7 linked regions of the Macaca fascicularis genome follow. The protein of the gene in region 1 purifies or fractionates together with the protein of each later gene. This does not show direct contact. Links are inferred from orthologs where the notes say so. Each region holds a gene or a part of one and is shown in the gene's direction. Other genes may lie near its edges. The genes, in order: SMAD2, USP15, SMARCC1, TRIM33, SMARCC2, KAT2B and SKIL.

Region 1 (4,055 bases):
AGAGCTGTGCTGATGTGCCTCTACATGTCCCTGCTGCAGTAACTTATTTTCAAGCATTTTGCACTTGGAGTGCTTTTAGAAGTACTTTAATGACATCATTTGTATATACGCTGTTTAGTAAAGCTTGTAATAAGGCTTCATTTAGTTAGCTGTCTACCTGAAACTATTAAAAAATATAGCAGTAGCTGTATTTTTGGAAATTTTTCTATATCTGATTGTACAGATAAAGACAATGTTAATTTTTCCAATGGGGATTTATGAACTTTTATGGTAATATATTACCAGGATCACATTGTTTCCAAAAGTTTGAGATAAATTAGAACTTGGAAATTTGGATAATAGACTACATAAGTTAAAGCCGTAATCAGATTTGTCAGACCCTAACTTTAAAAATTAAGCTGCAACTTCTCTTCTTCTTGTTGAAACTTTAAAAAAGGTTCCCCCACTCCCCTTTGCTCTTTGCCATAACTAGGCTTTCTTGAACTTTTTCAGTTTTGCCTCCAGTATTAGTGCCCCGACACACTGAGATCCTAACAGAACTTCCGCCTCTGGATGACTATACTCACTCCATTCCAGAAAACACTAACTTCCCAGCAGGAATTGAGCCACAGAGTAATTATATTCCAGGTATGTTTGACTTCTGAATCTTCTAAAACTTGGATAGATACAAATGTTGTTCATAAGCATTGAAGTATTAGTGAATTGTGGTTTCACTTTTTTAAAAATGCTTTTGAGTTTTTAATAGAAAAATCGGATTTGTTGGGTGATTATTTTGTGAAATGTATAAGCCTAGTACATTAAACTTGTTTGGAGAAGAGTTTTACTTTATATTTCATTTTCTTTTGCAGTGACTTTAATCAAAGTACTGTGAGAAGCAGAAAAGAAAAGATCTTAGTAAGTTTATCTTAGTTGTTGAAGCTAAGCGAGATGCAGAATGTAAGCAAAACAAATGATGTAGGAAAAAAGTACCCCTGAAACACATGTAACTGAAAATTCACCCAGTGATCACTTTTTCTTAGGTAACTTGGTAATATTTAACAGAAATGTAACATTTCTGTAAGAAATATAATACTTAGTTCTGTAGACGTAGCAGCACTTACATATTATACTGAACATCAGAAAACCTCTTTTCATTATGTTTCGTCTGCATCTTAGTGATTCCTGATGAAAAATGAATTCAGCTACATGGTTCTCAAATTTTGTTCTGATGTATTGTGTGATTCAGTAATACTCCACGATACGATATCTGGCCTTTCTGTTTTTTATGGTTTTTTTTTTGGAGAACGACTAATATTTTGTTACTTTTCTTGTATGTTTTCCTTTTTGTTTTGTTTGATTGATTTTTCTCCCTAGCAGAAACAGCATGATGTTAGGATGAGGATTAGATTAAGCTATCGTGTCTTGATTTCTTTCTTCCTTTTGTAATATTCTTCTATTCCACTCTTATTTTATACACTAAAAATATGTAAGGAACTTAAGAGCATTTACAAAATTTTTAAAATACAGTTTTAATACATTTAAACAATTATTTCTTTCATGTATCCATCATGGAAATAATGCTTATGCATTGAAGATAATTTTTTTTTCTTTTCTTTTTTTTTTTTTTTTTTTGAGACGGAGTCTCGCTCTGTTACCCAGGCTGGAGTGCAGTGGCCGGATCTCAGCTCACTGCAAGCTCCGCCTCCCGGGTTCATGCCATTCTCCTGCCTCAGCCTCCTGAGTAGCTGGGACTACAGGCGCCCACCACCTCACCCAGCTCGTTTTTTGTATTTTTTTAGTAGAGACGGGGTTTCACTATGTTAGCCAGGATGGTCTTGATCTCCTGACCTCGTGATCCGCCCGTCTCGGCCTCCCAAAGTGCTGGGATTACAGGCTTGAGCCACCGCGCCCGGCCGCATTGAAGATAATTTTTAAAATGTAAGGAAGAAAAAAAGAAAGATAAGAAAAGATAACTAAGAAAGATAAGTTTTTTTTTTTAATAGCTAGTTTTACAGATGGGAAGTGGTTTTTGATTGTTTTAGTTTGATTACTGTTTTATTCCAGAAGAGGATTTAAAGCTGCTTTTTGGGTTGCTAGGAAATACAAACTTACTGAAGTTAAGAGAGGGAGAAGGTGGGGTATAGTGTGATATACTAGGATGAGGGAAAACGTGGGACTATGAAACAGGGCAGTTGCCAGGTAGGAAAGGGAGTGGAGTTTAGTGAACGTTGGTGTGGGGAAAGGGAGGCATTTTAAGTCGTTAGTGTGGAGATTACCGTTTTTCAGCCAACAGTACTAACCTTAGGTATAAGCATGCAGTCTTACAGCATGCATATCCAGTAATTATTTGGAAGGATATTCACCAAAATGTTTAGTGGCTTTCACTCGTGAAGATGTTTGGGCTCATTTTTCCTGTCTTTTTTATTCTTTTAATTATTTAGATTTGAGTATTTTATAAAGTAGAAAATCAGAAGTGGATTATACCCATTTGCTTTTCTGGACAGTGGGGCTTTATCCAGTTTCAAGCAACAGCAAAACCAAAGGATTCATGTTTTATTCCACTTAAAATACATTTTAACGTTTTCTCAAAAATGCTAATAGCTTTATTATTTATTACAATGGAAAAAGTGCAGTAAGATAACGTATTTTAAGGTTCAGCATTTCTTTCTGATTAGATCTTTCAGATACTGGTTAAACTCAAAAAGCTTAGCACCATTTAACTTTATTAGCTTTAACTTTTAAAATATACGTAATGATATATACACTTATTTTTATGTTCTTTATTGTTTGCATATATGAAGCTAGTTTATTCTTAGAATTTTTGTATTAAAAATTTTGGGGTACTGACACTTAAATGAAAAGTTTGATACTTAAAGTTTGTGGTTAGCTTATTGAATAGATATTGTAAAAGGTTATTGAAGGAGACCCTTAACCTGTATCTTCCCTCTCTCCTTTTTTTTTTGTTTTTTGTTTTTTGTTTTTTGTTTTTTGAGATGGAGTTTCGCTCCTTGCCCAGGCCAGAGTACAATGGTGTGATCTCAGCTCAACACAACCTCCACCTCCTGGGTTCAATGATTCTCCTGCCTCAGCCTCCCTAGTAACTGGGATTACAGGCATGCGCCACCACACCCGGCTAATAGTGTATTTTCTTTTTTTTTTTTTTTTTTTTAGTAGAGACGGGTTTCTCCATGTTGGTCAGGCTGGTCTCGAACTCCCGACCTCAGGTGATCCGCCTACTTCGGCCTCCCAAAGTGCTGGGATTACAGGTGTGAACCATGGTGCCTGGCCTCTGTCTTTTGATAATTTTAAAATTCTGTTTGGATATGTGTCTGTGTTATCTTGAGTTGCTCAGAAGTGTTCAGCAGTGTAAATGTTGAACTGATGAAACTCTTTTGAACTTATTTTTCCTCCTTGGAATTACAGTTGATGTAATTGTATACATGTTTTTATTTTACATGCAGTGTTTTCAGCTATTCAGATGCCTTTCTGAATATAAATGTTTTATTCAGACAACATGGTGGAAATAACATGTTAGAATCCTAAAGTTTATTTTCGGGGAGCATTTTACCTCTTTATACAGTAGTCTATATTTGAATTGAATTTTTTGCTTCAAACACTTAGACTTTACCAGTTGGGAATCCTTGGAGAAATATACTTTTTAGGTAGAATTCAGTCTGGACCAATCTGGAACCATACTACCATATTTTACCCTATAGAACTTAGTATAAGTTGTAAGCTGTATTATTTAATACTTTTATAATCCAAAATCTTGTGTGTGTTTTTTATTTTCTAAGTACTCATAAAATAACGATGTTCATTAGATTAAACAACAACAACAAAAAATTGTAGTTATTAGTGGTTTTGCAGCCTACTGATTCAGATCTGGGGCATTTTTGAAGTTACATTTTTGGCTCTTGTCACAGAATATGTACATACAGGAATGAGCGAGATATGTAAATAATGTATATGTCCAGAGAGTAGGATTTTATTAAAAGTAGATGTTAAGGATTCACTGCAAAATTTGGACAAGATCCTGAATTATACACCTTCAGTATGCAATATTACTTTCTGTAATA
Region 2 (4,055 bases), on another chromosome or scaffold:
TCTTAGTGTTGTAAAACCAGCTTAATAGAAATTTATTTCCTTTTAGATGATAGTTACTGATATATACAATCATAGATTTCACAGAATATTCGCTATGGATGAAAACCTTAGTAGTATTATGGAACGGGATGATATTTATGTGTAAGTATAAAACTCATTGTGCAAAATATTACTTGAAAAAAAAATCAAAAGAAGTAACCTAAAATTTTGAGAGTTTATGGTCAGTTTTGTCCTTGTAGGTTTGAAATTAACATCAATAGGACAGAAGATACAGAGCATGTGATTATTCCTGTTTGCCTAAGAGAAAAATTCAGACACTCAAGTTATACCCACCATACTGGTTCTTCACTTTTTGGTCAGCCTTTTCTTATGGCTGTACCACGAAACAATACTGAAGACAAACTTTATAATCTCCTGCTCTTGAGAATGTGGTAAGTGCCAAACAATTCTACATTGACAAAATAAATATGGGAATAAAATATAAAATAGCTAATAAAAATAAACACACAAGGTACTATCAGAATATAATTATACAAGTCTGTATTGTCTCAGTTTTGTTTATAGTCAGATTATAGTCCTAATCCACTTTCTTATTCACGTAAAACACATTATGGAGGTAATTTCAAACCCAGGAAGCATGAAGTCTGTAGCAATTTTAGGCCAAAAGTTTACAGTTGGAAGGAAATAGGAATTTATGTTATAATAATTATGTGTTACATGTTTGTTCTGTGAAATCATAACAAATGTCAAATGCTATATGTTTGCACTGTGAAATGACAAATGTCAAATGCTTCATTTCTTTATATACATTACCAATTCATGATTAATAGTATTGTAAGGCAGCCTATTTTTTGCCTTCCTAAATCCCCTTATTTGAATTATAAAGTTATCAAGAATGTCATTTGATCCCTTTTATCTTTGAAAGCTGATATATTTAGTATTCTTTCTTGCATATCTAATTATTATGGTTTCATAACCCATATGTAAAGATCACATTATACAAAAATAAGTGTTTTTAGCAACAATATATACCATCTAAATGAGGATAAGTTGAGAAATTATTTGCAACAAATATTTAACATTTAACCTAAAAGGTAACGTACTAATTATTTTTATAAAGAGGAGCAAAACAAATTATTAGTCAGCTATATGTATGGTACTGTAAGTTTGATTTTAACCTTGAATCTACTAAGTGACCACTGTTACATTAAAAAGTTTTGTTTTACTGATAGAATGAAAACATTTTTAAAGTTTTTATCTTTGTAGTACTGAACTTGTTTGATTTCTGATTTTACTTAAGCCGATATGTCAAAATATCTACTGAAACTGAAGAAACTGAAGGATCCCTACACTGCTGTAAGGACCAAAATATTAATGGGAATGGCCCAAATGGCATACATGAAGAAGGCTCACCAAGTAAGACTTTTCTGTTAAATTATAAAAATGTTTCACTTAAATAATTGCTTCAGAGAGAAAGTTAAGAAAATGGGAATTAAAGAGCTAAAAAATACCTGCAAACCTACGACTAATAATATTAATAATTTAAAAATATAACATTGAGTTTATTTAAAGTTCTCTAATATCTAAAATTAGGTGAAATGGAAACAGATGAGCCAGATGATGAATCCAGCCAGGATCAAGAACTTCCCTCAGAGAATGAAAACAGTCAGTCTGAAGATTCAGTTGGAGGAGATAATGATTCTGAAAATGGATTATGTACTGAGGACACTTGCAAAGGTCAACTCACGGGACACAAAAAACGATTGTTTACATTCCAGTTCAACAACTTAGGCAATACTGATATCAACTACATCAAAGATGATACCAGACATATAAGATTTGATGATAGGCAGCTTAGGCTAGATGGTAAGTATTTGTGAAAAATGGCTTGAACATTAAACAAGCAGAGCATGTTTTTTTGTTTTTTAGGTGAAAACCATGAAATTCAGCCCTGTCAAGAAATACACCATTTACTTTTCTATCTCAAATTTTATATGAAAGGACTTAATATCTAAGTAGACCAAAATGTGTGTCTGTGTTTCATAAATGGAGATTGAATTCATGCTTAAGTTTTCTATCTTTTTTTAAACTTTTAAATTATTTCAATGGCTTGGAAACTGCTATTTGCCCTAATCACCTGTACAAGTAGAAAAGATTGCTATTTATTTATTCTAGTGTATATCCTAACATTAAAATATACTTTAATACTAAGACATATTAAATTTTAAAGAAAAAATATGTTTTCCACCTTAGAAAGATCTTTTCTTGCTTTGGATTGGGATCCTGATTTGAAAAAACGATATTTTGATGAAAATGCTGCTGAGGTAAGTCATCACTCACTTATTTACCTTTCCTTGATTTACTTTATGTGATTACCAGAGATAATCATACTGTTGTGTTACATTCTTTGCTTCCACCAAATGTTCATTTTGCCAGTAAAAAAGTGGTCATGAACTAGAAAAGAAAGTCTTTGCAAAAATACCTTTTTTTCCCCAAAGGTTCAGAGTTCATTTTGAACATGTTTTGCTCATCCATATAGGAGTGTACAGGAATTATTTAGAAGTATGATATAAATCTCAACTGAAATAAGCTTTATGATTCTTTTGAGAAAGTTTAGGAGTTTTCATTATTATTCATAGTAAGATGGTACCACTAAAATGAGTTTTGTTTCATTTGTTCTCTTAACTCAAGAAATACTTCTCTTTAGGACTTTGAAAAACATGAAAGTGTGGAGTATAAACCTCCTAAAAAACCCTTTGTGAAATTAAAAGATTGCATTGAACTTTTTACAACAAAAGAAAAGCTAGGTGCTGAAGATCCCTGGTAAGAGACAAAATTAAATAATTGTTTATGTTTTCTTTAAGGGTTTATTCTGAGATACGTGCCACATTAACTTGAAAAAGTAATTACTAAATTCTCTTTGATGTTTTAAATAGTAAAGGATTCTTTATATAAGTGGTAGCCTTTTAAGAGGGATAGGAAGTTCTTAAAAAATACTGTTACAGTGTTGCCTTAATTTTATTACTGTGTTTTTCCTAATAGCCATTATACTATTAATAATTCATTTTAGTTACTTGTTTTCCAAGAAATTTTAGCTACGTAATCATTTTGAGAGAAGCTTTTTAGGAAAAGTGTAGTGATATATTTTGTGATGTTATTCCATTAGAGCCCAGTTTTGAGATTTTCTAATACCTATCTTCCAGCACAGATGTCTTTTTTGCATACTAAAAGAGAAATAATCTAGCCCTCATTATGTCTTTAAATATTGGTTTGTATATTAATTTATAATGGTTTAACCTTTTTGGAAAATGTGTTGAAAATAAAAATAACAAGAGTTGCTTTCAACCTGGTACATATTAGGCATACGATAATTGCCCACTGAATAAATGTAGAACTTTCCGAACATTTTTTGTTATTTTCATTAATGGGGGTTGTTTGTACCTCTATCAAGCTTTAAATACTTCTCTTTATTCTTAGGTATTGTCCGAATTGTAAAGAACATCAGCAAGCCACAAAGAAATTGGATTTATGGTCCTTGCCTCCAGTACTTGTAGTACATCTCAAGCGATTTTCTTACAGTCGATACATGAGAGACAAGTTGGATACCTTAGTTGATTTCCCTATCAAGTAAGCTTTAATTGTATTTTATAAGTATTGAGCAACTCTTCTTTCAAATTTACTTGATGCTTTTTGTTATTATCCTTTAGTAAATATCAGGTGCCATTGGATCCAATTTCAGCTTTCAAGTTTGTTTTTGAGTAGTTCTAACAATTTATAAGGATCAGTGTTTCAAAATTTTTATTTTTTCTTAGAGATTTTCCAAAGACCAAAGAGGAAATATACTTTTAAAAACTAAAAACAATAAAACTCCTTTTGTGTTATATTACCTATGGGTTAATTGGTCTCATTTATAAATCTAAGATACTTTATGGTACTTAGTAATTTTGTTTATCTAGGAATTATTTCATCATTACTCATCACTTACTTCTAAATATGTTGGGTTTTCTTGGTGGTTTTTTTTTTGTTGTTTGTTTGTTTGTTTGTTTGTTTGTTTG
Region 3 (4,739 bases), on another chromosome or scaffold:
CATCAGTGTTAATTTCCCAGTATAAATGATTGTACTGTGATTATGTAAGAGAATATATAGACTATACTTGTCTGTAGAAAATACACTTTAAAATTTTTGATAGTTATGGGCATTATGAGAATAAGTTATCAGCAACTTATTCTCAGATGATTCAGGAAAAGTTCTTTGTATTATATTTGCAACTTTTCTGTTAAATCTGAGAAAGTTTCAAAATAAAAACTTTTTTTTTTTGGAGATGGAGTCTTGCTCTGTCGCCCAGGTTGGAGTGCAGCGGCTCAATCTCGGCTCATTGCAATCTCCACCTCCTGGGTTCAAGCGATTCTCCTGCCTCAGCCTCCCGAGTAGCTGGGATTGCAGGCATGCACCACCACGCGTGGCTAATTTTTGTAGTTTTAGTAGAGACGGGGTTTCACTATGTTGGCCAGGCTGGTCTCGAACTCCTGACCTTGTGATCAGCCCACCTTGGCCTCCCAAAGTGTTGGGATTACAGGCGTGAGCCATCTCGCCTGGCCCTCCTGATCACATTCTATTCATTTTTTTATTTAATATATTTTACTGTCCGTGACACAGCCCTCAGGAGATCCTGAAAACGTACATACCCTCATTTTTAAAAGGTCTCAAAACCTTATCAGCAGTTAGTCACTTTCTCATAAGCAATTAGTTACTTGCTTCTCTGAGATCATATAGCATTATGTTCACAACTCCATTATGGCCAGTCGTACTTTTTGAAACAGGGTTTTGCTCTGTCGCCCAGGATGGTGTCGTGAGTGGCGCGATTATAGCTCACTGCAGCAGCCTGCATCTCCCCAGCTCAAGCGATCCTCCCACCTCAGCCCTCCAAGAGGCTAGGAGCACAGGCTTGCAACACAATGCCCGGCTGCTTTTTGTACTTTTTTGGAGAGACGGGGACGGGCGTGGCGGTCTAGAGCTCCTGAGGTCAGTCGATCGTTCCGCCTCAGCCTCCCAAAGTGCTCCACGCCCGGCCAATCATACCTTGATAATTTAAAAATTTTCGGCTTCTATATGGGCCATTCATTAATTCATCAAGTATTCACTGTACATGTATTCATTGTCTCAGGTGTTCAGGATACACCTGTGAACAAGTTAAGATTAGGTTCTCATGTAATTTATGTGGAAGGTAAATGAGAAACTAAAAACACCGGGTCATGGTAAGCGCTACGCAGAAAGTGTATGGGTGTGAACAGTTCAAGATTGTAAGATATGACAACGGCTTTCTGAAGTCCTTTGAACCAGTGAATCTGAACGCGTCTCATAAGTGAAAATCAGAAGGGAAGACCCGCTGAGGTCTCCGAAACAGCCGATGCAAGGGCCCGTGGGGGCAGGAATGAGCCGCTGTGGCTGGACCCCTGAGGGAGTGGAAGGTCTGTGAAGCCGAAAAGCCTTGGCGTGGGCGTCCCAGATGGCTCTTCCCAAATGCCGCCGGGCCGCTGGGGGTGGAGGGTCTAAGGGAAAGCCGGGCCCGGCGCACTCGATACCCTAGGCAGGCTTTCCCCTCGGCACTTCTCGCACCAGACCTTTTCCCTTCAGCGGAGGCAGGCTATGACACAGAATCAACCTGCGGTTGTTAACCGCATAACGATTCGACGTCGGTAGCGAGGGAAGAGCATGGCTCAATAACCGGCACTCACTAGGGGAGAACGGAGCCTACAGAGGCTGGCGGAAGAGGCGGCTGGACGTGCTAGTCCAAGGCGCGCCCGCACGAGTGCTGCGCATGCGTATGCGCGGGCTCGCGTCGGATACGGCGCCAGTCCCGAGAGGGGGCGGGGCCGGGCGTCCGCACCGGAAGGGGGTTGGCTGGGCGGGGCCGGGAAGCGGCAGTGGCGGCTACGCGCGCGCGGGCGCGCGCGGGAACGAACGGGAAACACCGCGAGGGCTGGGGTGGGCCAGGCTGTGGGGACGACGGGCTGCGACGATGGCCGCAGCGGCGGGCGGCGGCGGGCCTGGGGCAGCGGTAGGCGCCACGGGCTCGGGGGCCGCGGCGGTAGCCGCAGGCCTAGCCGTTTATCGGCGGAAGGATGGGGGTCCGGCCACCAAGTTTTGGGAGAGCCCGGAGACGGTGTCCCAGCTGGATTCGGTGCGGGTCTGGCTGGGCAAGCACTACAAGAAGGTGGGTTCGCGCGCCCATGGGGGCCGGGAGACCACGCGACTGGGGCCGGAGGCGGCATCTGGCCTCGCGGGCCTCGGGCCTCCCCTCCCCCCCGCACGCCACGAGGGACAACAAAGGCAGGCGCAGGGCCCGCCACGCCCCCGCCGTCCGCTCTGGGCGCCCGCGCGCCGGTGGCCTGACGGGTCAGGCGCTTGTTCTTGTGAGCCCACGCACCCCTGGCGAAAGCCCCTGCTCAGTCTCGTGTGCCAGAGCAGGTCGAGCTCAGCCACTAGGCGAGTGTGACTCTCTTTTGTCAGCTGCCTTAGGTGTATGAACAATGATCCCTAAAGACCGAGCAAGCGTGGTAAAAGCAGCTTCAAGTTTTGTTTAGAGAGTATTCAAAGTCTCGAGGGGGTTTGCTACCTGTTGTTGATTTGCTAAACGACTGGGATGATTGTATTCGTTAATTACTAACAGGTAATGTGAATTCTAGGATGGATGAGAGCTATTAACGACGGTTTCTACCTCATTGTGCTTCTGGTTCTGTGTGGCGTGAGAGTTAATGTTCACTTGTACGTAAAGTGTTCTTCAGGGAGGCCTTCCGAGAACCCAGTTTTTATTAGAGCACTTTTCTTATGTCACCTTTATTTTCTTCGTAGTGTTTACCACATTTTGAAATTAGTCATTTACTTATTTATCCTACCTTTGGAATGGAAGTTCCGCCGAGTCAGTAGTTTTCAAAGTTTTGACTTAATCCCTTGTTTATAACATTTTTTTTTTCTCCAACTTCCCCTTTGTGTAAATATTCCGGAGAACTCCCTTAAAGGGTGTAATGAAGCAGGTAGTCAAAAAGGCTCCCCAGCCTCTGAAGTTTTCCTATCACCCTCTTTAATTCTGTACTTTCTCCTATTGAGGATCATAGCACTGAAGAAAGGGCTTTGTTCACTACAGTGTATCCGGGAACGTGGCTGATACTTAGTGCCTTACCCTTAGTAGCTGCTTAGTAAATATTTGTTTAATGAATGAAAAGATAAACTAGGAACCTATTTATTTGGCCTTTACAGCTCAGTGAAGCCTGTCAGTGTTTGGCAGTTATTAGGCATGGGCAGGGATCTTGGGTTCCTTTGGCATTACACGTGGTACATTCGGAAATGACCATTTCTGGCCGGGCGCGGTTTGGGAGGCCGAGGCGGGTGGATCACCTGAAGTGAGGAGTTCGAGACCAGCCTGACCAACATGGTGAAGCCCCGTCTTTCCAAAAAATACAAAATTAGTCGGGTGTGGCAGCACACGCCTGTAATCCCAGCTACTCGGGAGGCTGGGGCAGGAGAATAGCTTGAACCTAGGAGGCAGAGGCTGCAGTGAGCCGAGACCGCACCATTACACTCCAGCCTGGGTAATAGAGTAAGACTCTGTCTCAAAAAACAAAAACAAACAAGCAAAAAACAAACCCCAGAAATGACCATTTCTTTCTTTCTTTTTTATTTTGGAAGTTCAGCTGGGAAAAATTACATTTCTTGTCTGAAGTTTGAGGAAGTGAGAGACAGTAATTATATTTTTAGGTGCTTGGACCCCCCCCCCAAATTACATTTAGACTCTAGATGTTTAGTAATATTGCCCTTTCTTACACAGTGATAAATTGGTCACTTTTTATTTTATTTTATTTTATTTTTGAGACGGAGTCTCGGTCTGTCGCCCAGGCTGGAGTGCAGTGGTGCGATCTCCGCTAACTGCAAGCTCCACCGCCTCCCGGGTTCACGCCATTCTCCTGCCTCAGCCTCCCTAGAAGCTGGGATTACAGGCACCCACCACCACGCCTGGCTAATTTTTTTGTATTTTTAGTAGAGACGAAGTTTCACCGTGTTCGCCAGGATGGTCTCGATCTCCTGACCTCGTGATCCGCCCGCCTCGGCCTCCCAAAGTGCTGGGATTACAGGCGTGAGCCACCGCGCTTTTTAAACGTAGGTAATAGAGCTTCCAGGAGTGGCTAGTGGGATTGAATATGTTATGAAAATATTGGTTAATTCTTTCTTATTACATTCCTTTTAGCCAATGCTTTGGGTCTTAAATTCAGTGAAGCTTTAACAAAGAAAAATAATCTAGAGATGTTCCTTTGAATATCAAGGAAGAGAGTAGAAAAAGGCAAATTTCAGTAATTTCTACCTCTCCACACTGTTCAGTGTGCATCAGTTTGGGACCAACTACAAGAAGCTTTAGGTGTGGATAATCATCTTCAGATATTTGTTTGGGTGGGTAGGGAAGTGGCTACAAAGCAGTTTGAAGAATTGCCCAGTAGTATTGAGACCACTAGGCTAATGTTGATTCACTATCCCTGAGACTTTATAGACAAAGTTGTCTTTGACTTCTCAGGACTTTGTAAAGCCAGAGTGTATTTCTGTGGTCTACTGAGATTGAGAATCATATATGCCCTAGGCCTGACAGCCAGAATCTTTTCAGTCTCTGGGTGTTAGTGTCGAAGTGGTGAAAATATTATCAGAAGGTTCTTTGCTTCTTTTCTACACAATGCATTTCTATTTGTGTACACATTGGTTTTAACTAACCGTTTCTAGTGCATGTAATACTGCATTTTCAGAGCAGACAACAGTTTCAGTCTCAGTAAACATGATTTTGC
Region 4 (4,055 bases), on another chromosome or scaffold:
TCATATTCTAATTGTAACATTAATATATTTTATAAATTTTCTTTTAAAAAAAAAAAAAGAAAAACTCTTGAGAAGTCATAAAATTCTGATAAGTCAAATGTTGCCTCAAGGCTACTGGTTGGTTACCCTTGCTAATTGCTTTCTTTCCAAATCTTACTATTAAAAGTAGGACTTTGGGGGCTTGGACTAACCATGAAGATTGGCACATATTCTGCATAAGATTTGGTTTTCATGAAGATGTAAAGTACATATGTCTGTATCAAAATTTGCAAGCAGCTGGCTCTATAATAACTTTCTTTCCCCTAAAATTAATATGCTATGCATTTTCAAATTAAACAGTTTGGCATTTTTGGAGAATTCTTATTTGCCATTATTTGCTTATTTTAGATACCAAACTACTATAAAATTATAAAGAAACCAATGGATTTATCCACCGTGAAAAAGAAGCTTCAGAAAAAACATTCCCAACACTACCAAATCCCAGATGACTTTGTGGCTGATGTCCGTTTGATCTTCAAGAACTGTGAAAGGTTTAATGAAGTATGTTAACTTCCAACCTATAGAGTCTTGATTTGTTAGTTTTTGTTAGTTTCCTTGTTTTATTTTTTCTGCTGAAAGACTTTAGTTTTATTAAAATTGTTTTTTCTGCTGTAGTCCTGCTAAACATCTGATTGTATTAACAGCTCCAGTGAAGAAAATTTATTGTGTATAATTTGGAGTATATACTTAAATATAATACATTAAGAATATTACTTTTTCTAAATGAGTTGAGGATTGGCATAAGTATGGAAAGTACTGTCCGTAGTTAAGTATGTTTCGTGGGATATGATTATAAACAGCTTACATTTTGGGTACAATTAGGAAAGTATCTGTACCCTTGTCCTTGCATTTTATTATTGACAACATAAATGTAGAACCTTAAACTAATCTCTGGTGACCTATCTTGAATAGTGGCCCAGAGTATATGATACTGAGTTTTCTTATTTCAGCAGTGTGACTTTCATTAATTTTGGTTATGTTTTTTGGTTTTTGGAGTTTTTTTTGTTTTGTTTTGGTTTGGTTTTTTTTGAGGGTAAGGTTGAATTAGCCATACCTTGAGAAGAAATGTGATATATACCTGTTTCAGGAAAATTGTTTTTATTATCTTAGGGATAAAATCAATTCTGTTATTATTATGGAAGATTTTCATGAGAAGAAAGTGGAATTTAATGAGAATCCACAAAATCTTTTAAAAGATTAATACTAAAGTCTTTTTATTGCTGATGTAATTTGGGTGCCATATGATTATTACTAAAATAAATCACATTGAATCCTGTAACGTATTCCCGTAACTACCTCTGGAAGCATCCAGATGGCATTTTAAAATTGAAAACAAAACAAAATCCTCATAAGGTGAAAATTCTAAGTCACCTTTATAGCAGTATGGCACAGAGTATATTAGTAAAATCTCATTAATTTGAAGTTAAATTTAGAAACTAGTCCCAAATTTTGTCTTATTTTTCAGTGTAGTTAAATTATTTTCAAATAGATATGCTTTCATGAACTATAGTTGATAAGACCCATGTTACCTGCCTCAGTAATAGTTAAATAGTTTATGATTAACATATTGCTATACAGATATAATTTTTATTAAGTGGTTTATTGAAAGTGTGTCAGTTTTTTAAAAGCAAGGTTTCTTATATAATTTGCTTCACAAATATTTTTCTCTTGAATAGATTGATGTGTTCAGACCAATTCCTATTCAGATTGACCTTGATAATTCAAAATAAGACAATTACTGAGGTTTCACAGTAGCTTTAGTAACAGGGCTTTGTAAAGAAAATGGTTCCATGTTCTGTAGAATTTTAGAAAAGCACTTTATCTGGTTATAGCAATTTGTTCTCCCTAGTATGGCTGACTTTTCGTCGCCAATCCTATACAGTCTCATAACTTTAGAAAGGATTATAATTTCCCTTTTTTTTTTTTGACTCTGGTATCCTTTTTAGATGATGAAAGTTGTTCAAGTTTATGCAGACACACAAGAGATTAATTTGAAGGTAAGCTTTTCAGACCATGCAAACTTGGTGAAGGAATATGCATTACCAATAGGTGAATATTCCTATCTTTTGCTTGCAGGCTGATTCAGAAGTAGCTCAGGCAGGGAAAGCAGTTGCATTGTACTTTGAAGATAAACTCACAGAGATCTACTCAGACAGGACCTTCGCACCTTTGCCAGAGTTTGAGCAGGAAGAGGATGATGGTGAGGTAACTGAGGACTCTGATGAAGACTTTATACAGCCCCGCAGAAAACGCCTAAAGTCAGATGAGAGACCAGTACATATAAAGTAAAATGACATGGATTTGAATCAATTGTTAAAAAACAAACAAACAAAAAAACAACCCAGAAAACTTTTAAGTGTTGCTGGAATATCCTGCCTACAGTGGGCACCTCCTTGAAGAAGCTGATAGCTTTTACACAGTATTAGATTGAAATAATGGACAGAAACACATTCTTGTCAAGAAAGGGGGAGAGAACTCTGTTTGCAACTTTAAAAGCAAAAAGCAAAAGTGAAATGATGTGAGGATTTCTGTTCTAATGAGGGTGATTCTCTGTTAGAAATGGCAAATGTTGATGATTGTGTGCTATTGATTGGTGCAGGATACTTGGTGTACGAGTAAATACTTGAGGCTCGTGTCACTTGATAAATTTTCTTTTTGGACTAGGTCGCACAGTTATTAAAACAACTTTTAACCCTCTCTCTTCACACACATACATATCAGGTTGTTTTCTAGTTGAAAACCCAAGTAGCTCAGATTCTACTTTAATGTCAGTGCAGATTTGCATTGAATCATGCCATTATATTTTTTCTCATTTTTATGCTGTTGGGTCTTAGTTTTTAAATTGATATAAAGAACTCAGCAGTGGTTTTATTTTCTACTCATACTTAGGGTTTAGGAAACACGACCACTAGTTATCATTTAATCAACTTCAATGGTCTACTGAAATAAAAATGGTAACTTTTCATTAGTGGATTATTTAGAGTTATAGTAGTCATTTCCAGAAAACACTTACAATTGTACTTCCCAATCAAATCATGTGATCATACAGTTATTCCCATGAAAGGCAGAATGTTTGTTTCAAAATTAATCTAGTTTTCTGTACATTTAAATTTGATTGAGAAGGTGACAACTGGCTCTTTTCCAGTCTTCCTTCATGTCAGTTTTCTGATAGACCACTATTGGCAAACAGTATCTGTCAACTACCAAATGTGTAAAATTTTCTGTATTTCACTTTGTCTTATTTGTAAATAGTGAACTAAAACTTTTGGCAGATCAGCAACATTTGCTGAGCCTGTTTTTTAAGCTAATGTGTATTCTTACTAATGTTCCTATCAAGAATGGATTTGTAATATATTCTGTCTATTTCTAATGTTCACATTCATATTTTGAGGTTCTATCTTATTTTAATAGAGAACAGACTTCTCAAAAAATCTTCAGAAGCAGCTTATTATTGAGATATTGAAATATTGAAATAAACCCGGTGGGGTTAGATTACTCATCTGTCCACCAAGTGGGACATTTGCATGGACTGGGGGCTTAAAGGACTTAGAAGAGACCTGTAAGTAAATCCTGAAAATGAGCCAATCCCCACTTGAATGGTTACTGGAGTAAACCCACCTTTACCACCCCAATTACAGCACCCGAGGCAGATAAATCAACTTGGCTCTGGTTCATTTTTCTTTTCTTCATTTGTGATGCTCAGATTCAAAATGTGTGTTCTACAATGTTACAGGCTTCTCTTTTGTTTGATTAAAGATTTTAGTCCTACTTTTGTATGGACACATTAGAATATACAGAGACCAAAATAGAAGAATTTGCCATTAGATATTTTTCAGAAATCAGCAGTTTTGTGGCAAATCATTTATTTGCCTTTTTAAAAATTCAGTTTAAGCAGTTCAGAGAGTAGACTACTCAAAATTATTTCACATAATTGTCTAAGAGGTCAATATTTTTTAGTGCATATTGAATCAAATAAAGTGCTCTAAAGAAATTATTATACAAATTCCTTTGGGTTG
Region 5 (4,055 bases), on another chromosome or scaffold:
ATAATGGCACCTGAGATAATCCAGTAAAGTGTTAGCACAAGGTGGTGCTTTCTGTATATTGGTTTCTTTCACTCCCCTCTTGCAGGCCACATGATGCAATGGCACAAGGGTTAAAGAATTTCAGCTTTGAGCTGGGTACGGTGGCTCACGCCTGTAATCCCAGCACTTTGGGAGGCCGAGGTGGGCGGATCACCTGAGGTCTGGAGTTGGAGACCAGCCTGACCAACATGGAGAAACCCCCCCTGTCTCTACTAAAAATACAAAATTAGCCAGATGTGGTGGTAGGCACCTGTAATCCCAGCTACTTGGGAGGCTGAGACAGGAGAATTGCTTGAACCTGGGAGGCAGAGGTTGCAGTTAGCCGAGATCGTGCCATTGCACTCCAGCCTGGGCAACAAGAGCAAAACTCCATCTGAAAAAAAAAGAGGGAGATCAGTTCAGCATGGGATTTTGTGAAAGGATTTTAAGTGATGATAGAATTTACAATAGAACCTTGACATGCTTCTTCCGTACCTTGATTTTGTAGATCAAATGTTTCCTAGATTTCAAAGCGGGAGGCTCCTTGTGCCACATTCTTGCAGCTGCCTACAAATTCAAGAGTGACCAGGGATGGTGAGATGATTCTCTCTATTCTTCTTACATTTAGTTTAGAGGAAATCCCTCCTTTTGATTCCCTGGGGTCTTTCTGGGGTAGAAATTCTTGTGAGTCTTTATTTTGCTGGGTCAGTAGACCTGACTTGTTAGGTCAGAAAAATGGTTGGGAGTCAGAGCCAAAACAGTCGCCAAGAGTGAGTGTGTACTCGAGTATCAGTGTGTGTTTTGTAGAGGAAAAGGGATTCTTAGGTTGGCGTCTGAAACCTTTTTTTGTCCCTTTGGAGTAAGCACAGAGAGTGATTCATGGAGTTGAGATCAGTGAACCTCAGATCCCAGGTGATTTTGGCAATAGCTGTAAGCAAGCTTGCCTCCTAATTTCCCATATTAAGAAGTCATGACTGGGTGCAGTGGCTCATGCCTGTAATCCCAACACTTTAGGAGGCCGAGGTGGTTGGATCATTTGAGGTCAGGAGTTCAAGACGAGCCTGGCCAACTTGGCGAAACCCCATCTCTACTAAAATACAAAAATGAGCTGGGCATGGTGGCGGGCACCTGTAATCTCAGCTACTTGGGAGGCTGAGGCCGGATAATGGCTTGTAAAGGGGAGGCAGAGGTTGCAGCTAGCCAAGATCACGCCAGTGCACTCCAGCCTGGGCAACAGAGCAAGACTCCCTCTCAAAACAGCAACAACTACAAAAAAAAGGCTGGGTGTGGTGGCTCATGCCTGTAATCCCAGCACTTTGAGAGGCCAAGGCAGGTGGATCACCTGAGGTCAGGAGTTCGAGACCAGCCTGACCAATATGGTGAAACCCTGTCTCCACTAAAAATACAAAAATTAGCCAAGCGAGGTGGTGTGTGCCTGTAGTCCCAGCTACTGGGGAGGCTGAGACAGGAGAATTGCTTGAACCTGAGAGGCAGAGGTTGCAGTGAGCCAGGATCACACCGCTGCACTCCAGCCTAGGTGACAGAGCAAGACTCCATCTCAAAAAACAAAAGTCACATGCCCTCACCTCATCTGCAGACCTGAGCTATACCACTCACTAGATTATTGCCTCTTCACAAGGCGGCGTTACGATTTCCAGAATCCATCACGCATGGACCGCAATGTGGAAATGTTTATGACCATCGAGAAGTCCTTGGTGCAGGTAATAGGCATATCCCCTATTTATCTCCCTTCCCTCAGTGAAAATCTAAAACACTCCTTTCCCGTGATCTCATTCTATTTCTTTTCTCCACAGAATAATTGCCTGTCTCGACCTAACATTTTTCTGTGCCCAGAAATTGAGCCCAAACTACTAGGGAAATTAAAGGACATAATCAAGAGACACCAGGTAAATGGTCTGATCAGGAGAGGTTTCAGAAACTCCATGACTCTTTTCCTGATGTTTTCTATACCAAGCAGCAGCCCTGAACTACCATGTTTTCTGCTTCAGAGGTGGCTCTGTCTACTGGGAAGACTTGAGTTAAAGCCTTGAGTCTGGCCGGGCGCGGTGGCTCAAGCCTGTAATCCCAGCACTTTGGGAGGCCGAGACGGGCGGATCACGAGGTCAGGAGATCGAGACCATCCTGGCTAACACGGTGAAACCCCGTCTCTGCTAAAAAATACAAAAAACTAGCCGGGCGCGGTGGCGGGCGCCTGTAGTCCCAACTACTCGGGAGGCTGAGGCAGGAGAATGGCGTGAACCCGGGAGGCGGAGCTTGCAGTGAGCTGAGATCCAGCCACTGCACTCCAGCCTGGGCGGCAGAGCCAGACTCTGTCTCAAAAAAAAAAAAAAAAAAAGCCTTGAGTCTGTCTTTTTCTGTCTACTTCTCCCATTTTTCAGTCCTGACAGGTTTGCATTACTGTTCCTAGAGACTTATGTTGGCCTGGGGAAAAATAGTATCCACTTCTATTGAGCTAGAGATTGCTTGATTTCAGATAAATGAAATCCCTGCTCTTTAGAACTTTATAATAATGAACAGATGTCATTGATAAGGACGTACAGTTGACTTTAAATTTCCCATGTGTAGATTATCTGTTCAGAGGATTATTTGTAGCAATTTTTAATTCTTTGACTTTTCTCCATTATTAGCACAATCCCAGCTGTTTCCCTCTGCCACTTAGCTGGTGTGTGCTTAGAGAATGCAAACTAACTTTAATACTATTATAAGCAAAATATGATTAGGAAGGCAGCTCTGTGGCTAAACCTTGAGTAATTCAGAGGGGACCGTAATTTACCTGCTTCTCCTTGTGCCATCTAGGGAACAGTCACTGAGGATAAGAACAATGCCTCCCATGTTGTGTATCCTGTCCCGGGGAATCTAGAAGAAGGTGAGACCTGGGTTTTCCTGGCCACTTGAGTGGATGGTTTGGACTAGGAGGCAGAGGACTAAGATCACCATTCAGTACCTGGGCTCCTCTTCTTTCAATCTTGAATCCTCCTAACACCTTAAGTTCCTATTACCAAGTCCCCTGCTACAACAGGAGAGTGCATTAGTTAGGGCTTATGTACAGTATTTTTTTTGTGTCCCTCTTTAGCTTATATCTCTCCCTTCTCTTCCTCTATCCCCAGAGGAATGGGTACGACCAGTCATGAAGAGGGATAAGCAGGTTCTTCTGCACTGGGGCTACTATCCTGACAGGTGAGGATGGGTTCCTGGGGCAGGTTTAAGTATAAGAGCCAGACCCAGAAGCCCTGGAACATCTAGCAGAGCAAGAAGCCACTCGTTCAGAGTTATTTTTAGATCACTTAATTTGTTCTCCTCTCACCTATTAAGTGAACCTCAGTCTTGGGGGAGGTTTGGACTTAGTGAACAAGCCTTGGGCTAAAACAATTGAGGCTTTATGTATGAATTGATTATCCCCACATAATTTTTGATAAGTAAATGTTAGAAACAATCTAAATGTCTAACAGTAGGAAAATGTTTCAGTAAATTTGTATATCTACTCAGTGGGCTATTATGCAGCCTCCAAAGTGATATAAAATAACATGGACAATTTATAAGTGAATATTATTAATAGTTGCAAAAAGCAGCATGTAGGCCCGGCATGGTGGCTCACGCCTGTAGTCCCAGCACTTTGGGAGGACAAGGCAGGCGGATCACCTGAGGTTAGGAGTTCGAGACCAGCCTGGCCAACATGCTGAAACCCTGTGTCTAAAAAAAAAAAAAAAAAAAAAAAAAAATTAGCAGGGCATGGTGGCGCACGCCTGTAGTTTTAGCTACTCGGGGGGCTGAGAAGTAGTATAATCGCTTGAACCCGGGCAGCAGAGGTTGCAGTGAGCCAAGATCACACTGCTGCACTCCAGCCTGGGCGACAGAGTGAGACTCTGTCTCAACAAAGCAAAACAAAAAATAGCACATAGGCTGGGTGCAGTGGCTAATGCCTATAATCCCAGCACTTGGGGAGGCTGAGGCGGGCAGATTGCTTGAGCCCAGGAGTTTGAGACCAGCCTAGGCAACATGGTCAAATCCTGTCTTTA
Region 6 (4,055 bases), on another chromosome or scaffold:
CTGGGGCCTGTTTACCTGCCTCTCTAGTCTGAAGGGAACAGTTCCTAGTTATGGATGTGAAGAGATTCTGTCACTTGACTGAGTAGTGAATGCTCAGGGCTGCTTTCCTGTGATTCTGGCAGAGCCTCCTCAGAGAGGCAGGGCAAAATAATTGGGTGTTATGCTACAGATGACAAGTGGGCCCTAGGGGCTGTGTGTTTTCTCAATATTGGCTTTTCTGGATGGCGGGGACAAGTAACTCAAAGATGTTTTTGTGAATGTCACTAAATAGACATGGTATAATATAATCTGTTCATTTCTTACCTGTTAAATAGCATTCACCCCTTTCTCCCATCTCGTTTCATAAAAAAGACTGTTTTGTTAGGAAAACATTTCATTAGGGTGACTGACTTGAACTGTATCCATAGACTTCTTTCCCTAAACACATTTCCTTCTTGTGCTTCACAGATAATTAAAAAACTGATTGAAAGAAAACAGGCACAGATTCGAAAAGTTTACCCTGGACTTTCATGTTTTAAAGATGGAGTTCGACAGATTCCTATAGAAAGCATTCCTGGAATTAGTACGTATAGACCTTCTTTTAAAAGCGAAATTTTTTAGTAATAGTGTGATTTGTGTTTGAAACAATTTCCAGAATGCAGTAACTTGGAAAGCTATATTGCCCTGCCTGTCTCTGTGTTATCTCTAGTCTTTTAAGAAAGGCAGCAAATGTCATCGTTTTATGTCTTCCCTACCACCCAATACAAACAAACCAAAGGGAGCTTAGATGCCCCCTTGTAATAGCTGTTAATATCCACTGTTTATTAAGAGTCTGCTATTTGTAGCACAGTGCGAATTATTACGCATATGCAACCTTGAAAGCAGGGAATCCTATTTTATAAATGGGGAAATCGAGTTCCAAAGCAGTTAGATCATTTACTGCTAAAGGGCACATAGCCAGTAACGGTCAGAATTAGAAGCAGCCCAGTTCTGATGTCCAAACAACTTACTGTTTGCACCGTGTCTCATTGCCACCAGGGTTTTAACCTCCAAGGTCTGTGCTTGACTAAACTAGTCTCCCCAAACTTCCAAAAAATATTATTTGTTATGTGTGATGGAAATTGTATACCGTGTTTCATATTCCCTATTTTACAGTAGTTTTCCTAAGGGTTCTTGGCTGTATGTTAGAGTTGAGTTGTATTGGGTTAAACCATACCAAATAGTTGTTTTTATAGGTCAAAAGCCATTGAATATCATTTGGCAATTTTATTCAGTTCAAATCCAAGTTCTTTTTAGTATATTCAAGCATTAATAAAAAAACCAAAATCAAACAAGCAAAAATTTTCCAGAAAAAATAAAATGTTATTTTGGCAAGATATATCACTTTATGACATCTGCCCTATGGGAGATCTTACTTTTATGCTAAATCCAGAAATTCTCCTTCCATGTATTATCTCTGTTAATGACATAATAGCAACCAGATCATTGAATGCCTACTTGTGCCACACATTTTTCTGTGCTTTTTTTTTTTTTTTTGGTACATCAACTACTCTCAATAGGGATAAAACCACCTGATTTTTAGGGTTCTGTTTTATAGATCGATAAACTGAGAGACAACTTACTCTTATTTAGGGTGAGTTACCTTTTAAGGAAAGAACAGGAAATCACATCCAGATCTGTCAGACTCCAGGCTGTTTTCTATCTGCTACACTAAACTTTCTTGCATTACAAGCGGGGCCTTAGCCAAATAGAACAGAGACCAGGACAGAGTTTGTTCTGACCTAAAATAACAGCTTAACTCTTTTACAGGGTCATCTGCAAAACATTTGACTTTCAGTTTAAAAAATACACATGCCCACAGTACTGTACATATTTATTTTTTATGCTCTCCACTGAAAGGTTGGTGTTCCTGCTTTAAAAACAGTAACATATGGGGCAGTGTTGTTAGTCTTGGAAATGTTTTATATTGTTAGCGGTATAAGGAAGTAACTAATTGCCATTAATTTCAGTCTTTTCTCAGAAGTAGATTTTTATTGAGGCATGCCTGTAATTTATTGTTTTTGATAAGTATTAACTATGTGACTCTCTTGACCAAAAGCACTTCTCATTCAGTGTTTCATTTTGTTGACCTATAGGAGAGACAGGCTGGAAACCGAGTGGAAAAGAGAAAAGGTAAGTATGACAGGCAAAAGGATGTTAATGGAAGTGATTATTTTCCCCCCACCCAGCAACTTAAAGAAAATGGGCAAACTAATTGTAATCACTCACACAACAGTTGGTGGGTTTTGAGTTTCCTAAAACATTCTGGAATGGTTCCAATTTTAGGTTTTTGTAAGAATGAGCTGAATAGTAATCAGCTGGCAATAGGGTATAAATCTAATCATTGCTCCTTGTTTCCCTTTTTCCTTTCAAGTAAAGAGCCCAGAGACCCTGACCAGCTTTACAGCACGCTCAAGAGCATCCTCCAGCAGGTGAAGGTGGGTGTCCTCTTTATTCACCTCATGCAAATATTTTGAAATGATTTCCCACATGGAATTTCCATATTAGATACCTTACTTTTTTCTTTACCCAAGAGCCATCAAAGCGCTTGGCCCTTCATGGAACCTGTGAAGAGAACAGAAGCTCCGGGATATTATGAAGTTATAAGGTTCCCCATGGGTAATGCCATTAACATTTTCTAAGTATAGATTTAAAACTGGATGGCGGTGTGGGGGACAAATGGTTGCTGAGGTTGATTTGTACTCCTCTGTTTAGGGTAGGAAGTGTATGACGGGTGGTGGGATTCCACGCACCGTGGAGGGGCAGTGATGGCAGAGAAGTGGGTGGCTGTGTTCATTAGAGACATTCTGCAGCTGTCGTTTAGAGCCCACACGAGCTTAACGACACTAGACACAGAAAATCCAGGGTAACTGCAGATAGCACTAGGTATGAAAGCTGGTACTTTAGATATAACTTTGCTTATATTCTAACTGTTTGGTGCAAATAGAAAACATCAGCTTATCCTCTTGATATGCTTTGAGTCTGTCGTAAATAGGTATTCCTTTTCATAATTATTCAAGATAATAATGAAAGAAGTTAAACTACTTGACTGCTGTCCTTTCAGAGGGAGAAATTCTACTTACCACAATTCTGAATTTTCCATGCCCTTGATGGGTACTGTTGGTGTCACTGTATATACTCTTTATTTTAAGCTTTGTCTCATATCCAAAATCAAACAAAAAAGGATGTCTTCAGAAATGTAGAATTGTGCAGTTTGGTGCTTTGCCCACACTATGCTAAAATGAATGATTAATTGAATCAATTGAGAACGCTCAAATTAAACTAATTTGGCATGTGGGGTGACAGACAGCTAGCTGAAATGTTTTCTTTTTATCAGCTACGTGGCCATATTTTTGGAGAGAGCCAGAGTCTTCTGTCTCTTTTCTACTTGTAATCTATTCCAGGTGCTAAGAATTGTGGAAGTCCAGCCTGGGTAAGGTAGTGAGACCCTGTCTCTACAAAAAGTAAAAAATTAGGTGTAGTGGCACACGCCTGAGGCCCCAGCTACTTGGGAGGCTGAGGTTGGAGGATTGCTTGAGCCCAGGAGTTTGAGGCTGCAGTGAGCTGTGATTGCACTACTGCACTTCAGCCTGAGTACTGGAGGGAGACCCTGTCTCAAAAAAAAAAAAAAAAAAAAAAATTATGGAAGTATTAAAAATGTGAAAAGGAAGAGTGAAAGGGATGCATTAGCTCCTTGATAACTGAGTTATTTATAGGTGTTTTCTATAGCATTTAAATGTTTCACATGAATATTTTATATATTTATAGTAATGATTTCAGTAGCCTACACCCCTTAAAGTGGACACACATCTATATGCTTTTCTTTCCCTCTTCTCTCTGCCTTACCACTATTTATTTCAGTACAAGAAAATAAAGGGTAGGGTTGAGTCAGTCTAGAATTCTGAATGGAAGGCTGATTTGGGAATCAGTATTGTCCACTATGTGCAAAATATGTTAAAACTCTTTGTGTCCATTTCTAACCATAAATTAACTGATTTTTGTATCCTCTTCTCTGGACTGTCTCAGCTTCTTTTGTG
Region 7 (4,055 bases), on another chromosome or scaffold:
AATCAGGCTTCTTCAAGGGAAGACTGCCTTATTGGAAGATGACCCTTGAGACAGGGTCTCACTCTGTTGCCCAGGATAGAGTGAAGTGGTGCAATAACGGTTCACTGCAAGCCTCAACTTCCTGGGCTCAAGGGGTTCTCCCACCTCAGCCTCCCAAGTAGCTGGGACCACAGGTGTATACCACCGCACCTGGCTAATTTTTTTTCTTTTTTTTTTTAAGAGACTGGATCTTCCTGTGTTGCCCAGGCTGACTCCAGGGCTCATGGGATTTTCCCCACTCTGCCTCCCAAAGTGCCGGGAATACAGGTGTGAACCACTGTGCCTGGCATGATGACTCCTAAATAATGTTACTTGTCTTTACTCAGTGGCCCAGTCAGGTTGACACATAAAATGACCTTCACAGGTTAAACTTCAATAAATGTTTCGCTTCCATGTTTTTCTGCAGACAGATGCACCATCAGGAATGGAATTACAGTCATGGTATCCTGTTATAAAGCAGGAAGGTGACCATGTTTCTCAGACACATTCATTTTTACACCCCAGGTAAGTTGGTATTTATTTGTTTGTTCGTTCATTCATTTCATTCAGCAACTGTATACCACGCACTATTCTAGGACATGGGAATTAATTAATTAATTAATTTATTTATTTATTTTGAGATGGAGTCTTGTTCTGTTACCCAGGCTGGAGTGCAATGGCGCAATCTCGGCTCACTGCAACCTCCGCCTCCTGGGATCAAGCGATTCTCCTGCCTCAGCCTCCCGGGTAGCCGGGACTATAGGCTCACACCACCATGCCCAACTAATTTTTGTATTTTTAGTATAGACGGGGTTTCACAATGTTGGCCAGGCTGGTCTCGACCTCCTGACCTCAGGTGATCTGCCTACCTCAGCCTGCCAAAGTGCTGGGATTATAGGCATGAGCCACTGCGCCTGACCAGGAATTTATTTCTTTATTTGCAGGCTTTCTTGTTAATCATAGATTATCTTTGAAAATTCCAAATTATTTTTAAATAAGTCCGTTGGTATTTAATGTATTTTTTGGTTTCATTTATCATTATAGGGAAATTGTAGACGAATTGTGTTTAGTCACTCTTACTAGAAAAAATTCAAAGAAAGAATCTAAAATGAAATTAATTATAAATTGCACTGAATATTTTAAATAACCTTTACTATGTATTTCTATGTGTTTTCTAGAAATAGGTCATTTTCTTTTTGCCCTCAAGTAAAAAATGAAAGTTCTTTAATTTCTTACTTTTCTTCAAGAGGTAAACCAACTCTTCAAGAGTTTGGTGTACAACTTTGATTTTTTTTGAGACAGAGTCTCACTGTGTCACCCAGACTGGAGTGCAGTGGCAGGATCTTGGTCCACTGCAACCTCCGCCTCCCAGGTTCAAGCAATTCTTCTGCCATGGCATCCTGTAGCTGAGCCTGAGCGCCAGCTGCCACTTCCAGCTAATTTTTTTGTATTTTTAGTACAGACGGGGTTTCACCATGTTGACCAGGCTGGTTTTGAACTCCTGACCTCAAGTAATCTGTTGCCCTTGGCCTCCCAAAGTACTGCTAGGATTATAGGCGTGAGCCACCGTGCCCAGCTGCGACTTCAACTTTTTTTTTTTTTTTTTGAGACGGGGTCTTGCTCTGTTGCCCAGGCTGGAGTGCAATGGTGCGATCTCAGCTCACTGCAACCTCCGCCTCCCGGATTCAAGCGATTCTCCTGCTTCAGCCTCCTGAGTACCTGGGATTACAGGCACCCGCCACTACACCCAGCTAATTTTTGTATTTTTAGTACAGACGAGGTTTCACCATGTGGGCCAGGCTGGTCTTGAACGCCTGACCTCAAGTGATCCACCTGTGTCAGCCTCCCAAAGTGCTGGGATTACAAGCATGAGCCCCTGCACCTGGCCTGCAACTTTGATATTTTAAAAAGAAATTCTTTTGAAACTTAGAGCTTTCTTAATAACCACACTTCTCAAAATCAGAGTTTTACTTTTTCAGTAAACGTGCACCCTAGATTTTAAGTTTTTCTTGTTGAGTCCTAGATTTTTATCTACTAGTGTAAATCTGTATTCCCTCCAAGCATGGTGACAAAGAGACCGAGTCTTATTTACGTTTGTACAATCACTACTTTACCTGTTGTATTTGCAGTAAGTCTTTTGAGCACTATTAAACCTGTCGGTTTTCTTGTCCTGTCAGAAAACTGAGATTTTGGCTCAAAAATGTATGTTATTAACAAAGGGGAACAATATAGATGTCATGTACAAAGAAAATGAAATATAAGAGGAGATTGTCTGGAGTTCAGGGGATGGAGTGTCAAGTCTTAAATGGTTGCATCTTTTTGCTAAGTGTTACTCAGAATATATAGTTACAAATATGTAGCTGAAATCTGTTCCACGAGCGTCTCAGATGTGTCTACTGGGCAATTTTATGTGAGTTTTGATCAAAATTGGTAATCTCTTCCATCTTAGTTTTGCATAATATATTATTGACATTTTCTCAAATGAATAGAAAGTAGTGAAGCATTTTAAGAAGATTGCTCAGTGGGGTTTGATATAAGAACTGCCCAGTAGCTGGGTGGCATTCAGAGTGCATATTCTGTCTCTGAGGTATATAAGAAGAGCCCTGGGAGCTCCTCATTGAGCCTCTTGTGAATCAGTCCATAACCTTGCAGTCTGCAACTGAAGCAGCCTCACCAAAGCAAAGAGCCAAGATTCCCTGTTTAGAAGGGTGGTGGGCAAGATAAAGTCCTCCAAAGTAGTTATAGATGATTCTCTTTCTGGAGTAAAACTTACCTGCTCAGAGTTGTTACACAGATGTATAAAGTGCTTAATGCTTATAGTTCTGGGGTGGTTCTGAGGGAAGGAGAAGGGCCTGTGATTTTCTTTCTGAGTATCTTTTTAGTGCTTATAAATTACTTGCCAAGAAGAAAAAAAAAACCCACGAAATTATTTGCAAGCTGGTTATGGTTGCTTATGCCTGTAATACTAGTGCTTTGGGAGTTAGAGATGGGAGGGTATCACTTGAGCCCAGGAGTTCAAGGCCAACTTGGCAGCCTAGGAAGACACCATCTCTAAAAAAAAAATGGGGATGTGTCTTCCCAGCTACCTGGGATGCTAAGGCAGGAAGATTGCTTGAGCCCAGGAGTTAGAGGTTACAGTGAGCCATGATCACACCACTACACTCCAGCCTGGGTTACTTGCAGACTAACAAAAAATCCCTTATAATTTTGTTTGTAATGCCTAAAGTGCTGATTTTTTTCCTGAGAATTCTTCACTGTGACCTTTATTTTCTGAGTTGTAATATTGTCTGTTTTGGTTAAAAAAAAAGTTTAACCACAGAAATGCATGTTACATATTTGATTTTTACTTAATCGTAATATGTAATATATGTCTTGTTTTGCTTTTACTTGTTTTCAGCTACTACTTATACATGTGTGATAAAGTGGTTGCCCCAAATGTGTCGCTTACTTCTGCTGTATCCCAGTCTAAAGAGCTCACAAAGACAGAGTCAAGTAAGTCCATATCAAGACAGTCAGAGAAGGCTCACAGTAGTTGTAAACTTCAAAAAACAGTGTCTTATCCAGATGTCTCACTTGAGGAACAGGAGAAAATGGATTTAAAAACAAGTAGAGAATTATGTAGCCGTTTAGGTAAGTATTCAGAGATTATCTTTCTAAAATTAAATATCTAATGAACACATTTATTCAGCATTTTCAAACAGACTTTTTGTTTAAGCTAAATTTTCAGATAATTAGAGCTTTTACCTTTAAAAATGCTACCCTTCAAAACTCTGGGTGATTTATTTTAATCTCAGTTGCTATACTTTTCTAGCGTGGTGATAGCTCAGGAGACTGAGATAGATACAGATAGGCCACCTGGCCTCAGACTGCAAGTTATTTTGATCTGAATTTTTTTCCTTTCCTACCTTTTATTTGCTGTCAGTCTTCAGGAGATCCTTGTTTTTCTTTCCTTTTTTTTTTCTTTTTTTGTGACAGAGTCTTTCTCTGTTGCCTAGGCTGGAGTGCAGTGGCGAGATCATAGCTCACTGCAGGCTCAA

What was found.
Region 2: the proteins of SMAD2 (region 1) and USP15 purify together in Homo sapiens (affinity purification with western blotting; 4 studies listed by BioGRID). This does not show direct contact. The link is inferred for Macaca fascicularis from reciprocal best matches to the Homo sapiens genes SMAD2 and USP15.
Region 3: the proteins of SMAD2 (region 1) and SMARCC1 purify together in Homo sapiens (affinity purification with mass spectrometry; 3 studies listed by BioGRID, with this or other methods). This does not show direct contact. The link is inferred for Macaca fascicularis from reciprocal best matches to the Homo sapiens genes SMAD2 and SMARCC1.
Region 4: the proteins of SMAD2 (region 1) and TRIM33 purify together in Homo sapiens (affinity purification with western blotting; 7 studies listed by BioGRID and IntAct, with this or other methods). This does not show direct contact. The link is inferred for Macaca fascicularis from reciprocal best matches to the Homo sapiens genes SMAD2 and TRIM33.
Region 5: the proteins of SMAD2 (region 1) and SMARCC2 purify together in Homo sapiens (affinity purification with mass spectrometry; 3 studies listed by BioGRID, with this or other methods). This does not show direct contact. The link is inferred for Macaca fascicularis from reciprocal best matches to the Homo sapiens genes SMAD2 and SMARCC2.
Region 6: the proteins of SMAD2 (region 1) and KAT2B purify together in Homo sapiens (affinity purification with western blotting, with the first as the bait; 3 studies listed by BioGRID). This does not show direct contact. The link is inferred for Macaca fascicularis from reciprocal best matches to the Homo sapiens genes SMAD2 and KAT2B.
Region 7: the proteins of SMAD2 (region 1) and SKIL purify together in Homo sapiens (affinity purification with western blotting; 8 studies listed by BioGRID and IntAct, with this or other methods). This does not show direct contact. The link is inferred for Macaca fascicularis from reciprocal best matches to the Homo sapiens genes SMAD2 and SKIL.

Annotation. Positions count from the first base shown.
Region 1 is NC_088392.1:41,926,843-41,930,897, forward strand, and holds part of SMAD2 (mothers against decapentaplegic homolog 2), read left to right. Parts: intron 1-492; coding exon 493-627; intron 628-4,055. UniProt on the Homo sapiens protein: Receptor-regulated SMAD (R-SMAD) that is an intracellular signal transducer and transcriptional modulator activated by TGF-beta (transforming growth factor) and activin type 1 receptor kinases.
Region 2 is NC_088385.1:69,324,862-69,328,916, forward strand, and holds part of USP15 (ubiquitin carboxyl-terminal hydrolase 15), read left to right. Parts: intron 1-46; coding exon 47-141; intron 142-239; coding exon 240-431; intron 432-1,300; coding exon 1,301-1,416; intron 1,417-1,593; coding exon 1,594-1,866; intron 1,867-2,253; coding exon 2,254-2,324; intron 2,325-2,707; coding exon 2,708-2,823; intron 2,824-3,477; coding exon 3,478-3,627; intron 3,628-4,055. UniProt on the Homo sapiens protein: Hydrolase that removes conjugated ubiquitin from target proteins and regulates various pathways such as the TGF-beta receptor signaling, NF-kappa-B and RNF41/NRDP1-PRKN pathways.
Region 3 is NC_088376.1:110,703,829-110,708,567, reverse strand, and holds the start of SMARCC1 (SWI/SNF complex subunit SMARCC1), read left to right. Parts: upstream 1-1,837; 5' UTR 1,838-1,933; coding exon 1,934-2,128; intron 2,129-4,739. UniProt on the Homo sapiens protein: Involved in transcriptional activation and repression of select genes by chromatin remodeling (alteration of DNA-nucleosome topology).
Region 4 is NC_088375.1:119,977,122-119,981,176, forward strand, and holds part of TRIM33 (E3 ubiquitin-protein ligase TRIM33), read left to right. Parts: intron 1-387; coding exon 388-540; intron 541-1,985; coding exon 1,986-2,036; intron 2,037-2,115; coding exon 2,116-2,328; 3' UTR 2,329-4,055. UniProt on the Homo sapiens protein: Acts as an E3 ubiquitin-protein ligase. Promotes SMAD4 ubiquitination, nuclear exclusion and degradation via the ubiquitin proteasome pathway. According to PubMed:16751102, does not promote a decrease in the level of endogenous SMAD4.
Region 5 is NC_088385.1:62,971,339-62,975,393, reverse strand, and holds part of SMARCC2 (SWI/SNF complex subunit SMARCC2), read left to right. Parts: intron 1-526; coding exon 527-612; intron 613-1,657; coding exon 1,658-1,739; intron 1,740-1,832; coding exon 1,833-1,925; intron 1,926-2,835; coding exon 2,836-2,905; intron 2,906-3,146; coding exon 3,147-3,216; intron 3,217-4,055. UniProt on the Homo sapiens protein: Involved in transcriptional activation and repression of select genes by chromatin remodeling (alteration of DNA-nucleosome topology).
Region 6 is NC_088376.1:28,280,001-28,284,055, reverse strand, and holds part of KAT2B (histone acetyltransferase KAT2B), read left to right. Parts: intron 1-447; coding exon 448-562; intron 563-2,114; coding exon 2,115-2,151; intron 2,152-2,392; coding exon 2,393-2,456; intron 2,457-2,552; coding exon 2,553-2,637; intron 2,638-4,055. UniProt on the Homo sapiens protein: Functions as a histone acetyltransferase (HAT) to promote transcriptional activation. Has significant histone acetyltransferase activity with core histones (H3 and H4), and also with nucleosome core particles.
Region 7 is NC_088376.1:81,886,311-81,890,365, forward strand, and holds part of SKIL (ski-like protein), read left to right. Parts: intron 1-449; coding exon 450-543; intron 544-3,415; coding exon 3,416-3,648; intron 3,649-4,055. UniProt on the Homo sapiens protein: May have regulatory role in cell division or differentiation in response to extracellular signals.